Callithrix jacchus: one gene and its partners. The protein of the gene in region 3 interacts with the protein of the main gene of each other region in a biochemical or structural test. Links are inferred from orthologs where the notes say so. Each region holds a gene or a part of one and is shown on either strand. Other genes may lie near its edges.

Region 1 (3,132 bases), on a different chromosome or scaffold from region 3:
AGTGAGCTGAGATCATGTCACTGCACTCCAGCCTGGTGACAGAGCGAGACTCTGTCTCAAAAAAAAAAAAAAAAATAGATGAAGACACTGAGGCTCAGAGAGAGACACACCTGAAGTCACCTAGGTAGTAACAACCGACTTTGGAGTCTTCTATCTCAAGCCCACCACTCTCTGCCATACCTCAGTGGAGCTGTAGCTTTTACAGGGACTGTGGGAAAGTTGGTGATCCTGAGGGAGTCTGGAATGAGCCCACTTGAGGTCCCCTTTGCAGATACCTTTGGAGACTGGTCAAGGGTGGAGTGTCACCATCCTACTCTCTTTCATCCTGCCCGCCCCTGGAGGCATGCCAGAGGGAGGCTGCGGCTGCCTGGGAAGAGGCTGAGCAAGCCCTAGGAGAACCGGATCAGGCCCTGGCTCAGCTTCAGGCCCATGTGGCAGACATGGAAGCCAAGTATGAGGAAATCTTACACATGAGCACCACCCCCTGCCCAGCCACCCAGTACCCAGGACTCCCCCGTGCCCACAAACCCCAGCTAGTATGATGACTGACAACCCAGGGGTAAGGAGAAGAAGCATCTCCAAGGGAACCCTGCTCTATCCTGAGGACGGAAAGAAGGGATACAACCATGTCTGCTGGACAAGGAAAGCTTACAAACCAACCTGGGGCAGCCTTATCCACTTCCCTCTGTCTTCCTGGGGGCTGAAATCTTGGTGTCTGCAGGACAGCCTGGACAGGCTCTTGGCCATGCTGAGAGCTATCAAGCCGCAGTGGGATGGGGCTGCGCTGAGACCCCAGGCTCAAGGAGCAGCTATGCCAGTTCGGACTCACCCCCTGGATCTTTGAGGCCTCCAGCCTCTAGTCTCTCAGGCTCTCTGAGGCCCCAGCAATAAAGCATCTTGATGCAGAACTCAGCAGAGCTGTGGGCGGTGGTCTTTTGGCAGAGAGGAATGGATCTTTTTTATTATTTTTTAATTTATTTTTCTTCTTTGTTTTGTTTTGTTGTTGCTTTTATTTTTAGGAATGGCTCTCATGGGGCTCTCATGGGGACACCTCAGTTCTGGGTTGATCCATTAATCCGAGACTGAGTGACAGGAAAGAAATTTGATCAAGTCGCAACCTCTCTCCTGCAAAAGCCAGGTCCCATCCCTTGAGCCTGAGGTCCTTTGGGTCCCTTCAGACCACTGCCCCTTACCCCCACCAACACAAACACAGGCAGTCAGATTTATGGGGAACGGCCATTTCTCTAACAAGTGCAACGGTGCCCAGGCACCACCCTCCGCAGTGTTAAGGTGCCCACAGAGGGCAGGCATAGCTGGTCTCCAAATTCTTGCATTACACTCAAGGGTCGTGGAGTCCTATCTAGAAAAGGTCCAGGTGGTTTCAGTCCTAGCCAGCCCCACAGCCACACCTTCATCCTTGGGACACAGCTCTCCAAAGCTCCCAGACGACATCCTCTGGAGCCTCAGACTTCGTCAGGGACCTGCCTGAGGCCTTCTGCCATACCCTCTGCTGGGAGGTGGGTCTGCAGGAAGGGAGGGAGTGCCTGGGCCAGCCTGTGATTGGTGGTGTCTGGCTTATAGAGAGCATCCTGCCTCCAACACCTTGGGCTTGAGAGTGAAGACAGGATATCCCCTGGTATGTCTGTACCAAGCAGTGATGCTCTATAGCAGGTCCGAGGCCAGAGCCCAGTCCTAGGCAGAGAGAGGAGGCGGAAGGTGGTTCCAGGTGGGACCCCAAAGAGTTACTTTTTCTTGCCTCCTCCTGCACTGGAATGCCCAGGAACGGGACTTATTTCATGCATTTTTCTGTCCCCACCTACCACGACCTGAAGCCCACCTTGCAGACCCCACACTGCTTCACCTTGCAGCTTGCCCACTCTGTCCTTTCTCACTCCTCCCTGACCTTCTGTAGCTACTCACAGTCCAATCTGTTTCTTCTTCCTCACCTCTACAGCCCCAGGGGGAATCCAGGCTTCCAAGCCCCATGGAGACCTGGCTGCCAGCTTCAGGCAGAGGGGTGGCTCAGCCTCAGGCAGCTGCTGAAGCCTCTCCAGGTCATTCTTTCCCCCAACAGGGTACCCGTTCACTTCCAGAATCACATCTCCCACTCGCAGCCCCGCCCGGGCAGCTGAGCCTCCTGGAGTCACCTGGTGGTGTGGGGGCATGCAGAACAGGGGAGACCAGGGAAAATTTGCTGGCTTAAGGCTCTGGAAGGAAAGCAGAGGAAACTGATCAGGCAGCAAAGGATGGAAAGGATTCAGGGTCCATGGGGCATGAGTCACCTGTGAGATAAAGAGACGAGGCCCACCCTCCACACAGCTGAGTCGGAAGCCATAGCCGCCACCAGGCCCAGGGTACAGAGAGCACTGGCGGGAGCCAAGAGGGACGGAAGGCACGCCTGTGTCTTCAAGTGAAGGGTCCTCTGTCTCAACCAGAGAGGCTGAGCCACTGCCCTGGGGAGAGGCAGTAACCTCTGTGTTCTCCAAGAAGAGGAGTGGGGATAGGCGAACCTGGAAGGTGGCAGGTAGAGCAAACCTGTTGGACCCGAGCCCTGCTCCTCTTCTGCCCCATCCCTAGCCCCTGCCCCCTCAGCACGCACCATGCTGAAGAAGCGGTCAGCATCAGGGTCGACGACAATGAGGGAGACACAGGAGCCCTGCGCCTGGATCCTGGACACTGTCTCCTCATGGCCCAGTCCCTCCACGCTCTCCCCAGCCACAGCCACCAGCCGGTCCCCAGCCTGCATCCCAGCCTTCTCAGCTGGCAGTCCTGGGTCTACATCCCACAGGAACTGTCCTGGGGCACAGACATCCTTACTGCTTCTCCCCAACTATCCCAGGCCACTGTGTGCACACCAGCGGACTGACCTCAGGGTGAGCAGGAAGAGGTGGCCCAGGGCCAGAGCTCAGACAGGGACACCTCTTCTGTGTACTGAGAGGTGTATATACATTTGTGTGCCCACCTCAAGGCCCACCTTCCCCCACCACCTCCAGGGTTCTCACTCACCAGGGCGACCATCAAGGCCCTTTTCCTCCCGGAGCAGGAACCCAAAACCCCGGGGCCCTTTCTGCAGGTGCAGACATCGGGGCTTGGTGGGCAGTGCCCAGCCCTCTGCCAGGGGTGCAGCCAGGG
Region 2 (4,521 bases), on a different chromosome or scaffold from region 3:
GGCATATAAAGACAAAAAGAACAAAAGATACAACAGCAATCAAGAGAAGTCACCAAGGAGGACAACAGATAAATGGTAATAAAGACTAAACTACAAGAAAAAGCTGAAACCTAAGCCTACAGGGATAGAAGCCAGTAAGAAATAAATGTCTGCACAAAAAAGCCCTGGGAAGCCTTAGAAATTAGAAACATAGGGGGCTGAAAACAGGACAAGTACTTGAAGTAAGAAGCTTTTAAACTCACCCATACTGGGGAATAAGACCTGTAATTTCCTCTAGTAAGGCTGAACCAGCTCTGCTCTCAAGGACACTTAAGGCAGGGATAAGGCATGCTGAGGAAAACATGGGGGCTAAGAGAAGTCAACGTACTAACTACTGAGACTTGCATCTCTTTTCTCACACTCAGCTCCTGGAGCACTAACAGCTAAGCTAAGGATTTTAAGGATATGGGAAGGTTTCTTCTGAAATATCTGATACAAGAAAACATATTTGCTATTATTACCATTTGATATACAGTAATAAAATGGACAAGTCCCTACCTATTCAAGATATAGGAAAACCCAGCAATCAGTAAGTTCCACCCACATGAGCCTGGCATTTAGTATCTTATTCTTAAATATTAAGTGGACAGCCACAAATCACCAAATATCTGAAAAAGGGCCACGTATCAAAGACAAAAATGAACAGAAAAAAATGAGGAGCAGAGAGCACAGAAGGTACACAACAAGATGGAACAGAGGAAAACTTTTTTTTTCAATGTCATCCTCAGACCAGGTTATTACATCTGTGGAGCAAATAACAGCAGACTAAAGAAATGAAAATTTCAGAAAATAAAGTTTTGAAATAGAAAATATGGTCACTGAAATTTTAATATTCAACTGATAAAATTGAAGAAACACCCACAAAGTAAAACCACGAAATAAAAACAGAAAAGATAAGAAAAAATGTATATCAGTTGTGCCTGTTTCCCATTTCTCCATATAAAACTTTTTTTTTTTTTTTTTTTTTTGGTGAGGAGAAACGGAAGAAGGGGAGTACCTGAAATAGAAATTAACCATGTTAAGAAACAGTAAAATCAAAATTAACTTAGTTAATAAAGTTTGATTCTATTGAAAGTAAACAGACATGCTATATAGAACAAATGAATGAGTAATGTAAGTAACTTAAGACCGGGAGGGAGAAAAGCTTTCTTTTCAGGGCTAGATACAGCTCTCCCACAAAGGGGCTTTTTGTATACCACATAACCTGGGTATGAGAGAAAGTTATGGGCAGAGGGCAGTGTTGAGTTTTCTATCTGTAACTTAAGGTAGTGTTCAAAACGTCTTCTAAAGTTCCTTCCAGCTCTAAGTTCTTTATGTCTAATTCCTACCTCCTTCATGGAGCCTGTTCTTACTACTCCAGGTACATCAGATTTCTGAAACCAAAAAAATGAACGCAATTTAAATGTGGCTAGGATTGACTAGCAAGGCCTAGATTGTTAAGTAATAATATATTTTGTAAGTATTAATTACATTAAGATACATTTTCAAAGTATTTGCATACCCTGGAAGCATAAGTCTGAGGATTATGAGTTCTGGGATCTCAAGCCAATTCTGTCATTAATAAATCATGTTACCATGAGCAACATACAAACCATGAGGCTCAATATCCATATCTGTATAAACAGGCTGAGATAATCTTTAAGATCCTTTCTAGTTCTAAATGGCTTATGATTCTAAATAAATATATGACTAAGGGAACTGGTTATTAAATAGACCTCTTAAAATTGCTTGCTGACATTCTGATGCTAGTAAAGGACAAAGGAGAGTTACAAAATACATACAGAATTAAATCAGAACAGCTTACCCTTCCATTCTTACAGATATAATCAAATAGCTCTCCTCCAGAGACATATTCCATCACCATGAAAATATCAGATGGTGTACTGATGACCTGGTACCTGGTGAGAGAAAAAATTGTCTACAAATATTAAAACATGTATATTCATTCATTCAATAAATATTTACTAAGCACCTATAGTATACTAGGTGCCATGCTAGGAGCTAGGATAACTGCAGGGAACAAAAATTATCTGCTCTCATGGAGTTCATGTTCCAGAAGCCAGGAAACAGACACTAAATAAATAAACAGTATCTCAGGTGGTAGAACATGCTATGTAGAAAAATAAAGCAAACTAAGGGGAATGTTTGTATACAGAGTGCTCAAGGAAGCCTTCTAATAAAGTAACATTTGAGCTGATCCTAAAAGAAGAATGGAAATAAATTATGCCATTATCTAGGAGGAAGGTGAACCAGGGAGAGAAAACAGCAGCTACAAATGTCCCCAGGTAGAATCCTGTTTGGCATGTTCGAGGAATAGTAAGGGCACAGCAGAGTAAGCAGGGAGGGAAAAATAGGATGTAGAATCAAAGGTGTTAACTGCCGGCCAGAGTACATAGAATTGTATAAGCCATGATAAGGCTTTGGCTTTTACTCCAAGGAAAATGAAAAAAGCTATCATTGTCTCAGAAAGGGGCTAAAAAGAAAAAAATAAAGAAAGGAAAAAAAAAAGAAAAAAGCTATCATATGTTTTAAGCAGTCATGTGATCTGGCATATTAAAAGGAAAACTCTGGCCACAGTGTAAAGAATTAACTGTCAACAGTAAAGGTAGATACAGGAGGTTACCTCAGGATTTCATAAGACGGATGAAGGTGGCTGAGACCAGGTTGACAGTGATAAAGGAACTGAGAAGCAGTCACATGCTAGCTTGATTTTATAGGAAGAGATGTGAAAGAAACAGGGAAGTTAAAAACGGTTCCTAAGTTTTAGCCCTGGGTAACTGGATGTTAGCTGAGATGGTGAAAACTGTGGTAAGAGCAGGTTTGGGAGAGTAATAGTTCATTTTGGTCCCAGGGAGTTTTAAATGCCTTGCGGACATCCAAATGGAAATGTAAAGTCAGCAGTGAGCATTTTGAGTCTGGAGTAAGAAGAGATCTTAAAGCAAGAGATGGACATTTAGGAGTGGTAAGCACATGGATGGTATTTAAAACCATGGAACCTCAACAAATGAGAAGAGGTGAGTGAAACAAATTTGAGTCAGCCAGTTCAGCAGCTTTAAATTATTGCCTGCATAACAAAGCAGAAGCTGAGCAGGAAATATGTTATTTATAGACTCTACAACCTACAACTATAAAACAACAGTAAGATTACTGCTCTTTTGAAATATTAGATTCCTAAAATTTTGTTATCTGTATTCAGGTATAAGCAGGATGGGAAAAAACTCTTTCTACTGCATTCTCGCTAATGAGGCTAACTGACGTCATGTGGGCACTTGGAGGTCAAGAGTTTTTACTAGCAGATCATTGTTGATTTTACACTAATGGGGCACCAAACATTATTATCAAAAGGGCATCTTTCCAGAAGACAGGAAAGAATGAGAAGATAACAGCTGATAAGCACAAGGGCAAAACATGAACACAGGATTAAATGACCATCAGGAGGGCTAGAAGAATACATGCAAAGGAAGAAACTTTTTTTTTTTTGAGACAGTTTCGCCCTTGTTGCCCAGGCTGGAGTGCAAAGGCATGATCTCAGCTCACTGCTACCTCTACCTCCCAGGTTCAAGCAATTCTCCTGCCTCAGCCTCCTGAGTAGCTGGGATTACAGGTGCCCACCACCACACAGAGCTAATTTTTATATTTTTAGTAGAGATGGGGTTTCACCATGTTGGCCAGGCTAGTCTTGAACTCCTGACCTCAGGTGATCTGTCCACCTCGGCCTCCCAAAATGCTGGGATTACAGGCATGAGCCACTGCAAGCGGCCTAGGAAGAAACTTTTCAAAACCCTCATGAAACAAAAAGAAGTGTCAGTCATTTTTCTCGCTTGTCACATTAAGTAGGTTAACAAAAAAGATGAAAAGATGACTGGTCTACATTTAATATAAACAGAGCTTACAGTTTAATTATATGAGGATGCCTGAAAAGCTTGAGGTTCTGAATTTCTCTGCGGATTTTTCCCACCACATCGAGGCTCCGAATCTTCTGCCTATTGAGTATCTTCACAGCCACTTTATGCCCAGTTAATTCATGTTTGCCAACTGTAAAGGAAGTAATTTTAACAAATTAGTACTAAGTATGATCAATAATATATTTATACATATTCTGGCTGGGTACGGTGGCTCACGCCTGTAATCCCAGCACTTGCAAGGCCCAGGTGGTGGATTACTTGAGGTCAGGAGTTCAAATCCAGAGCTGGCCAACATGTCGAAACCCCATCTCTACTAAAAATTACAAAAATTAGCTGCCTGTAATCCCAGCTACTTGGGAGACAAGGCAGGAGAATCACTTGAACCCGGCAGGCAGAGGCTGCAGTAAGCCCAGATTGCACCACTGCAAACACTGCACTCCAGCCTGGGTGATGATTGAGACTCTGTCACAAAAAAAATAAAAGTTAAAAAAAAAAAACATGCCAGTAATCCCAGCTACTTGGGAGGTGAGGCAGGAGAATCACTTCAACCCGGGAGGCAGAGGTTGCAGTGAGCCCA
Region 3 (4,521 bases):
TTTCCAGCTCTTTGATCTCTGTAAATCAATCAATCAATCAATCTCATAGGAAAAACAAGTCAAATTATCTACAAAGAACTGCTCAAGGTTTTAAGTCATATTTCTTTTGTTCAACAGATGGGTATTTATTTTATCAAATAGATGGTAGCAAAAATAATAACTACTGTTTAGTAAATGCCTCCTACGTGGCATTGTCCCTGTCCCTTATGAGAGTCTATGAGTGGTGGGTATCTCAATTCAGAGATGAAAAAAGCAAAGACAGTGAGGTGAACTGGCTTGACTAAGGTCATATAACTAGTAAGTATGCAATCTGGGATTCAAACAAAGAGCTATTTGACTCCAAAATTTTTATACTTTATGTCATATTCTATCTGACTCAGGAAGCCCTTTATCACAAGCAGTGACTGGTGTAAGTCATTCATTCACTGGTATTAGTTATTCTGTAATACAAAGTGACTAAGGCTCTGGTGTGATGATCCGTAAACCAGAGTCCTAAAAGCTAATAAACTCTACACAAAAATCAGGTATTCCTTTTAACTCACATAAAAATTTTATCCATTTTTAGCTGTTTTATATCTTAAAAAATGAACTGAATCAACATATTTATAAAGGAATTCTAGAGACTGACAAGCAAAAACTTTCCCATTGATATAGGAAGTAATATTTATACCACTTTAAAGAGTCTTTTTTTAGGCCAGGTACAGTGGCTCATGCCTGTCATCCCAGCACTTTGGGAGGCTGAGGTGGACAGATCACTTAAGGTCAAGACCATCCTGAGTAACCTGGTGAAACCGTGTCTCTACTAAAATATAAAAATTAGCCAGGTGTGGTGGCATGTGCCTGTAACCCCAGCTACTCTGGAGGCTGAGACAGGAGAATTGCTTGAGAGTGGGAGGCAAAGGTTGCAATGAGCCAAGATGGTGCCACTGCACTCCAGCATGGGTAACAAAGTTAGACTCTGCCTCCAAAAAAGAATTTGAAAAGAAAAAAAAAAAAGGCTTTTTTAGTGACACTGAAGATCACAGTTCTATGTAAAGAGCAGTCCTGGTTTTACTAAAGTGGGCTTTTTGAAAACATAATTTTTAAAATTTTCAAGCTATGCAAATAAGTTGCTACCTGTACTTCATCATCATTCTCCCCAGCCCAGCCTGAAAAAGGGCAAGAACTATCAGGAAACCAAGTCCACAGAAGGCAGAGGCCTGTAACAACTCCCAGATTAGCCCCATGAGGAGTGCCACTTGCAAAGGAGCGATCCACACGAAATGTGCCAATGCAAGTCCCTGGAAAATAAAAGCACAGCAAAAACAGGTGGCATTTTATCTTCCACCCCTAGAAACAAACAATCACATATGAAAGAAAGCGAATACAGAGAGCATATGATCAAACACTTTATGGTTCTGAGCACACTAAAATCAAGTAATCATTACATGGAGCACATAACAATGTGCTTTAACATTCTACATACAGACTAGGTTTTCCCAAAGAACAAATTTCAAGTAAGTGCATTTTAAAGTATATTTTTATTCAGTGGAATTGAGATTGGATATCTTAAGAATCATGTCCAGGTTTTTAGTAACTTATTTCTTTTTGGATTAGGCAAGAAATACAGCACAGGACATGAGAGAACAAAAAACTCTCTAGAGACTCAATCCGCACAACTGCACATCTCTGTCAACTGACAGAAACATTAGGAAGAGTTGTTCAATTCAACAGTAATCAATTTTGTACCAGCTGTGGGTCCAAAGCTATTTTAAGTACTGGACATGCAAGGATAAGTAAAACACATTATCCTCAAGGAGCTTGAATTTGTCACATAAGACAATATAGAACAAAAATTGCTCTGAGTATCATATTCAGCCAAAGTATATAACAGATTTAAAGTAGTAAAGAGAAGCAAGATCTTATAAGAATTAAGTTTTGAAAAATCTTATTAACAACAGCCTGAGATGCCTCTGCGTTGGGTGGTTCTACCAGACCCCAGAATGGCGCTATGCTATACAGTCTACCTTTCTCCGTTTCCAGAATAGGGAAGCTGGAGATAAGCAAGACTTAACCACTAATTACTATCATGTGACCCAGGAAAACTCTACCTTTTCAATTGTATAATTTATAATAATAGTGCATAAAATATTAAATCAACAGGTACATACTTCATCAAATTTGTTCAGGTTGTTGGAAAGGAGACTAACAAGTTGTCCAATACTTATTTTATCTAGAACACGGCTCGACAGCTTTAAAGTCTAAGAGAAAAATGGGAAGTTAGAAAATTTCAACAAACAAAATACAAATATATTTTAAGTAACGTTATAATATGACTGAGAAATTCAGTTTTTATGCATTCATTATTAAGCAAAGGTAATGAAAATTATGTTCTATTCATCTAGCTTACTATCTTCTCAGATTCATAAATATTACTTTTAACAGTATTATACTGGCAGGCTTCTAGCTGTTTTATTTTCCAGCATCTAGAGAGAAATAATTATTTTTTCTCCTCACAATGAAAATGATATTATACTTAAATACCCATTTATATGGTATGGGATTTTTTGTTTTGTTTTGTTTCAAAAAATAGAGCCAAAGGGAGGGAAATTTGAGATTAAGCCTTGGCCTTGAATTTTTCATGCAGTCCTATACTAACTCTTTTGAATAAAATTACGGTTAAAGTTAATAAAAGTATGGGATGAATAGCTGAGTAATTATTACTTTTGTGAAAAAGTATATTAACAAAATCCTTAAATTTTACAAAGAAAAGTGCAATGGCATATGAAAAATAGTTAAGAAGGTAAATTATTTTTTATCTACTTATTTATCTACTAATTAAATTTACTTAAAATTATAAAGTTGACTATGATTATGGAAGATCAGAGTCATACTTTGCTCAATTTGACCTCAAACTGTAGAAGAATTGATTTGCTATTAGCTCACTTTGATTGGGAATTATCTAATATTAGTTTCAAGTGAATCTCTCACATACTTGTTGAGCATTTAGTAAATACAAATCACTCTACTTGATGCCTCAATGATTATTAAGATTTATTAAAACATAATTATTTCTTCAAAGCAACCTAGTATATAAATAACTAAATATAACATGATAGATGAGTTAAGGAAAGTAGAAAGTAATAGGGTAGTTAAGAAAAAGTTAAAACTTCTGGTTAGAAAAATCTGGAAGGATTTTCTTGAGGAGTTAGAATTTGAGATGGTGTGGAATAATAAACAGTGTGCAGATAAGCAGAGAAAAGAAGGAATCAAGGCACTTAATTCCAAAACATTATCAGAGCAACATGAAGGGGGAAAACCCATTGAGCTAAATTGCACATGATTTAGTAACAGGCTTAGTCTCAAGTGACTTTGAGTCCTGCATAAGGCTTAACATGGAGCTGTGTGCACAGTAAGGACTCAATAAATATTTTTAAATTAAGTTATTTCTGCATTCTTGAAAAGTATAGGCAAAGCTCAAAATTGTTTGTATTTAAATTCATTATTTAAAGTAAAATATTGCAGAATTTGGAACAAAGCAGAGGAGAGCTCTGTTACAAACTTTGGAACATTGTAGGAAATATCCCATATATCCTGGTTATGAGGCCAAACAGGTCAGATATGGGAAAGCATCAGACCTGGGAAGAGTAAACACAGGTTCACTTTAGGAACCAAACCAAAGCCACACAGAGACGGGATTGCCTTCTTTGGTGATAATGCCAATGTAGGCATAAGGGTGGTTAGAGAGAGAAATCAAACTCACCAAGAACACAGATACTCAATGTTGAGAAAGGAAGACAAATACTATACCATTTAACTTTTTATCAGTGCATCTGGGTCTGAAAGCACCTATATTTGTGCTAAATGTTACATAGGGACTTGTTTACAAACTAACCTGCCCATTATTTGATCTCTGTACCCCATTAGCCCATGCCTCTCTCTCCCTGCAGTAGAGTCTGCCCACTAAATATCAGTACTCTATTGTCCCGAGTGGTTGGAAAACCCTCCAGTTCAAAGATTGTGATTTACCTATTTTAGAAATTTTGAAGCAGTGTCTGCACCATGTTCTGTACCTTTAAAATCTTAGTTTCCTTATCCATATGATAGGGGTAATAATACCTACCATTAAGAGTTGTGCAGAAGATCAAATGAGATGGTGTACCTAATTGCCTAAAAATTTGTCATGCACATGCTATTACCATTAAGATAAGCAATTTTTATAAATATTTATTAAATGAATTCAACTTTCTCTGATATGCCAGCTGTGTAGAGTCTACATTCTAAATGATATCTAACAATGTCCTCACTTATGTAAAGGTTTGGATCAAAATAAAACTTTTGTTGATTTATCACACGTTTCCCTGGTACTTGTGAACTGATGAGATTGCAGCTGAGGTGATAACTGTGGACTCCGTTTTTTTTTTCTTACTTCTGCCTTCATAAAAGGCTTTTTTGAACAATAAAGTACAGTTATTGAGGTTTTACAACACAGTCGACCTTGCAGTTATATCTTAGAAGGGTTATGGGTTATTTGCTAGTGGC
Region 4 (5,236 bases), on a different chromosome or scaffold from region 3:
GGGCTGGGGAAAAGAAGTGAAGCTGACAAGGTGACTTGAGAGGGTCTCTGGGCACTTAAGGGCAGAATAGAGTGACACCTTATTCATAGGGCATGAGCTGAACATGCCAACTTGTGGTGAGTAACTCTTGGACCCTTAAAGGAGGCAATGTTTCTTAAGTTCCGAAGCCCCCTTCTCTAGAGAATGCACAAGCTCTCTAAGAAAGGAGGAAAACCACGTGCAATTACGCTTGTCCTCTGGTCTGCATGTTTTTTTAAAAAAGGTTTAGTACTCAAATCCTTAGCAAGCAAATCTCTCAGCCTTTTGAGGGAGTGGTCAAGGGTTTGCATGAAACGTTTCTGAAGAGAAAATAGGCTGTGAGTCTCCACAACACCCCCTCTGCTTTGGTATTAAGAAATAATTTTTTTGAAAAAATTACCTCACTGAGAAATTTGCCAGAAGATTTCTGGAAACTGACTTATGAACTAATTGGGCACTTTTGCTGTGCGGAGGAACAAAGACTATTGGTCTTCAACTGAGGCATACACCTGTCTCACGGCGTTGGCTCATTCCGCACATGCTCAGTTGAACAGAAATCTTCATTTTGAATGCAACCTAGCACAGCGGCAACACCCAGAACCTCACTCCCTGGCTGCTCCTGTGCCTGCACTCCCTCTAGTTGCATTTTGTTCCTGACAAGTCTAACATTTATAGGCAATATAGAGAGCAGAGTAGGTGTTGGGAGTTTGGGGGCAATATACAAAGGAGATTAAAGTCGCAGTTTGTCCCTGCCTTCCTGGTTTCTCTCTAGGTTGTCTCTAGTGAGGGTAAGCGCTGGATTGATATTTGCTGAGTTTGGGCCAGAACGTGGGAGAAGCTGTCTCCATAGATGACCGTGTGCTGCTGTCGCACACCTTCCTAGGCAGTTTTTGTCTAGTCCTTTTATAGGATGACCTACCCTTACCCCCAGCCCTCGTCTTCATTAAGGAATGACAGGGTGGCACTAAAAGCATCCGCTGCCAAGCACGGCTTCAGTGACAACCTCTCTCTACCTCTTTTGGCCTTCTCATTCATTCGCACCCTTTCCCTGCCTCTTTTCTCGACAAAAAACTGGGAAAGGCTCCCTGCGATTACAAAAGAAGGGGTAACGGCCGGAGTTCCGTGCCTCTTGCCGGACAACGAGCGTGCAGCCGTGGACCTTTTGTCTCCATCCTCTTTCGCGGCTTGGTCGCGGCTAGGCACGGAGGCGACGACCCCAACCAAGCCCCGCCTCAGCAGCTGCAGCCGGCGCGCCCCACTCGCAAACCCTCCGCGCCCTCTAGAATCCCAGTGCCCGCCCTTTCGCCGTGACGCGACCGGCGCCGCGCGCATGCGCCGCTCAGCCCGCTCCCTTTTCCCTGGGACACCGCCTCCCGACGGACTGGTGTGGGCGGGGCCTGTGGTTCTGGAAGCGGCGCTGGCGACGGGGGAGGAGGGCGTGTCTGCGCGAGGCGGGTGTGCGGGGCTGGCGAGTCGGTCGGCTGCTGAGGCTGAGGGGCGGAGCAGAAGGCGGCAGCCGCGGCTCCCGCCCGCACAGAGCGCCGGTCCCGCGAAGCCCCCTCCCACTTCTGGGCGGGCGGCGGCGGCTGCGGGAGGAGGAGAAAGAGGAGGGAGCGTCTCTGCCACCGCCTCCTGGTCCCCAGCGCCGATCAGCCGCCGCCACCTCCCTCCGAGACGATCCTCCCTCCATGGTCCTGCCGCGGCACCCTCTGTAGTCCGAGCTGCTCCGCGACGCGACGGAGCCGGTCTCGGACAGAGGGAGCGGTCGTGGCCTCGCAGCCCGCTCGGGCTGACGAGCCGAGAGCGGGACGCCGCGCGGTCCCCGAGGATCCGCACGCCGGGCAGCGCGGCCCGAGCAGCGCGAGGAGCAGCGGGCGGGCGGGCGGCGCCGGGCCCGGGCCGCCCTTGCTCCCGCGCCCCGGCCCCGCCGCCCGCGCCGGGGCGGTAGTCCGCAGAGGAAGGCGCCGCAGTCTCTGGGCCTCGCGGCCCCACTCAAGCGTCCTCGGCGCCGAGGGCTCGCGGGTCCTGAGGGGAGGAGGCGAGCCCGGGGCTGGGCACTGAGCTCTTGGGCGCCCCCACCCCCGTTTTCGAAGCCCTCCACGCTGCGGCCGCTATCCCCTCCGGACCATGGCCGACGACGACGTGCTGTTCGAGGATGTGTACGAGCTGTGCGAGGTGATCGGCAAGTAAGTCTCCACGCGAGGGAGCGGGAGTGTGGAAAAATGCATTTCAGTGATACCCCGGTCTTCCCGCACCCGCTCGGGGCCTGCCCCCTGCCCGCCCTCCCCTCTTCCCCTCTCGTCCTCCTCATCCTGGAGTATTTATAGACGTGTACCTGGAGCTCCTGCTTGGCGGGGGCCTTGGGGTTCTCAGCGATCCATTGAGGCCAACGAGCCTAGGTTGGTCACCCCGTAAGGCGTGGAGCCGGCTGCCTGCATTTTATCTGACGGTTGCATAGGGACGTGGCACAGCCGATTTTATAGTTGCTTCAGTTAGGGTTATTGTTACCTTGCTTGTACCATAGACCATTTTTGAAAAGAGCAGCTTGCATTTCCTTTGCTTGTGTGGAGAGAGAGAGAGATAGTCCAAGGTTTTAGTTGTGGGGTGTGTGTCTATTGTGCAGGATATTAGACAGATGCCTTTGTGTACACCCCGTGCCCGGATAGGAAGGGGTCGTTTAAGACGGGGTGCGTTCAGTTTCAGCAAATCCCCCCCTGGTGTACACAGACGTGGAAAGAGTTGGGGGCATTCGAATTTTTAATGCCTCGTTATGCAATGACTGTTCAATCAGTGCTCGAGGCTCCCCTAGACTGTTGTTGGGATGGTGGTTAGCATGGTAGAACCGTCTGCTTTGAGTCACCAGGCTGGTCTAGAATATAGAATTGACAGTCCAAATGCTCATCCTTTCATCTGTGTTGTATAATTACGCTAGGGAAAAGCAGGGAATCAGATTAATCACAGTGCTGATTGAGAATTAAATCTGCAGTTCCTCATCTAATTGTCTATTCCTTAAATCTATTTTGAATAGTTTCCTTTTCATTCTTGTCAAACAGTATTCCAAGTGCACAATCCTGCTAATTTGCTTGTGAAGGAAATGCTGGCAATCTGAACTTGATTTCCTAACACAGCGTGTATTCCGTGGCTTAATAAGGATCGCTAGAGCTACCATTGAAATATTTTTTTTTTTGGAAGCGGTGCTTTATTGTCTATTTTAAGGTCCACAGTTGGGAAATGAAATTAAGACCTTAGAGCAGTTGGCCCTCTCTCTTTTAAGTTGTCTGCAGTACACAATTTTAATTTGAGTGCTAATTTGTTTCTTTTTCTTTCCATATTGAGGTATTACAGTGTTGCCTCTCATGGTGAAATCGTGGATAGAGCTTGCTACACACTTTACTCAGACACAATTGATATGAGGACATGTTACTCCTTGCCCTATTGTTACATGATCAGCCAGACTGTTAAAAGGAAAGTATCCAAATGTGTCCTGTTAAAGTGGTTGTGGAAGTGTTTTGGAATAGCACTGTCCAAAAGCTGTATTATGAGCCACATTTATAATTTAAAATTTTCTAGTAGCCACATTTAATAAAAAAGGTATAACTAATTTTAATAAAATATTTTATTTAACTCAGTAGATTGAAACATTTCAACATGTAATCAATATGAAAACATATTAACGAAATATTTTACATGTTTTATACTAAGTCTTTGAAATCCCAGTGTGTATTTTACACTAACAGCACATCTCAATTCTGACACTTAAGCTGAATTTTCATCAGAAATTCGTAATCTGTATTTAGGTTTCATAAAATCTGCATTTGCAAAAGTAGATTCACATACCCAAGTGGTTCCCAGTATATATAAAAGTTTTCCAATAACCGAATCAAGTACCTTTTTCTAAATTTAAATTTTAATAAATGAAAATTAAATAAAATTCAAAATCCGTTTTCCAGTCTGACCAGCCACGTTTCAGGTGCTCAGTACCCACATGTGAATAGGACAGTTTTGGAGAGAAAAATGTCTCAAAAATCTCCTTGGTTTCCTTATTCTTAAGAGCACCCAGTAAAGGTAAATTAGGTGTTTTCCAAAAGCCTCCAAATGACTGGATGTGTGGGTGAATAATATTTGTTGCATCTTAGTTATAGCTGATGTAAATAAACTAGCAATTCATAATTGGAAAATGTGAGATTAAAATGTTAATTATATTGTGAAGATGGAAAATAGCCATCACTGAATCAGTTTTGGTAACTAGTTCTGATTCCTTAAAGTTGGGAAGGATGATGATGTGATCTCTTTGGATATCAAAAAGAAATGGTCATCATCACATTAACAGTATTCCACTGATTTGTAGTTGATAGAATATTTTCAGTAAACACCCCTGGGAGAAGAAAATTCATCTTTTCTGGCTATTTCAGAGCTGCATAAAGAGGGGCAGCAAGCTAATTTTGAGGTGATAGGCACTCTGTGGCTATCTAACTACTATGAACTGTGAAATCTCATTCATATCCTACAAAATCTGACTTGCTCAGTGTCAATTATAAAATGCCATTACATGAAATAATGAATTCAAGCTAGTCTTATTGTTAAAGAATGTAATAATAGTGTTCCTCAACCTGAGTAAAGGTTGAAGGTTTCTCTGGTAAATTGTCTTAGTATATATTGATATGGAAATTGAAATTAGCTTGAGATTTTCTTGCAGGGACCTTGACAGCATACATTTTTAACTTAGAATTTGTTCACCTCTGAATTTGAACAGAAAAGCCTTGAAGATCTTCCCATGCATTGAAAACCTTTTTATTGATTTCCATCCAAGTTCTGTGGAATTTTTATTTTCTTTTATAGCAAGTTAGTATCACAAATTGTTTTTCACCACTAGATCTTAATAGGTTTAAATTTTTACTAAGGTACTTTAAAATAGATTTCACTTTTCAAGACTAATTGACCACCCACTCACTCCTCTACCTACCCAACTACCTACTCATTTACCCACTGTGTACTTGACCTTACTTGATGGCATAAATGAAAGTTCTCATTTAATTTAGACCTTTCAATCTGTTTTTTTTCCCTTGGTTGAGAAAGACAACTTACAGAGTTAATGAGGTTTTGAAATATAAGATCATTATTTGGAATATGTTTTCTTTCCAGTGGCTGCAGCCTTTACCCTTGTTAAAGCTATCTTTGAGGGAACATGTGCCTGATTCTTTACAAATATTGGAAGGAT

Evidence for each region.
Region 1: the proteins of CFTR (region 3) and NHERF4 form a complex in vitro, tested with the Homo sapiens proteins (2 studies listed by BioGRID and IntAct, with this or other methods). The link is inferred for Callithrix jacchus from reciprocal best matches to the Homo sapiens genes CFTR and NHERF4.
Region 2: the proteins of CFTR (region 3) and PRKAA1 form a complex in vitro, tested with the Homo sapiens proteins (2 studies listed by BioGRID, with this or other methods). The link is inferred for Callithrix jacchus from reciprocal best matches to the Homo sapiens genes CFTR and PRKAA1.
Region 4: the proteins of CFTR (region 3) and CASK interact in a test that uses a peptide from one of them, tested with the Homo sapiens proteins (2 studies listed by IntAct, with this or other methods). The link is inferred for Callithrix jacchus from reciprocal best matches to the Homo sapiens genes CFTR and CASK.

What each region holds. Positions count from the first base shown.
Region 1 is NC_133511.1:18,846,586-18,849,717, reverse strand, and holds the end of NHERF4 (Na(+)/H(+) exchange regulatory cofactor NHE-RF4), read right to left. Parts: coding exon 3,007-3,132; intron 2,797-3,006; coding exon 2,600-2,796; intron 2,511-2,599; coding exon 1,947-2,510; intron 1,693-1,946; coding exon 1,663-1,692; 3' UTR 956-1,662; downstream 1-955.
Region 2 is NC_133503.1:164,798,373-164,802,893, reverse strand, and holds part of PRKAA1 (5'-AMP-activated protein kinase catalytic subunit alpha-1), read right to left. Parts: intron 4,075-4,521; coding exon 3,933-4,074; intron 1,938-3,932; coding exon 1,844-1,937; intron 1,413-1,843; coding exon 1,368-1,412; intron 1-1,367. UniProt on the Homo sapiens protein: Catalytic subunit of AMP-activated protein kinase (AMPK), an energy sensor protein kinase that plays a key role in regulating cellular energy metabolism.
Region 3 is NC_133512.1:88,121,343-88,125,863, reverse strand, and holds part of CFTR (cystic fibrosis transmembrane conductance regulator), read right to left. Parts: intron 2,241-4,521; coding exon 2,151-2,240; intron 1,281-2,150; coding exon 1,117-1,280; intron 19-1,116; coding exon 1-18. UniProt on the Homo sapiens protein: Epithelial ion channel that plays an important role in the regulation of epithelial ion and water transport and fluid homeostasis. Mediates the transport of chloride ions across the cell membrane.
Region 4 is NC_133524.1:42,784,512-42,789,747, reverse strand, and holds the start of CASK (peripheral plasma membrane protein CASK), read left to right. Parts: upstream 1-2,010; 5' UTR 2,011-2,145; coding exon 2,146-2,204; intron 2,205-5,236. UniProt on the Homo sapiens protein: Multidomain scaffolding Mg(2+)-independent protein kinase that catalyzes the phosphotransfer from ATP to proteins such as NRXN1, and plays a role in synaptic transmembrane protein anchoring and ion channel trafficking.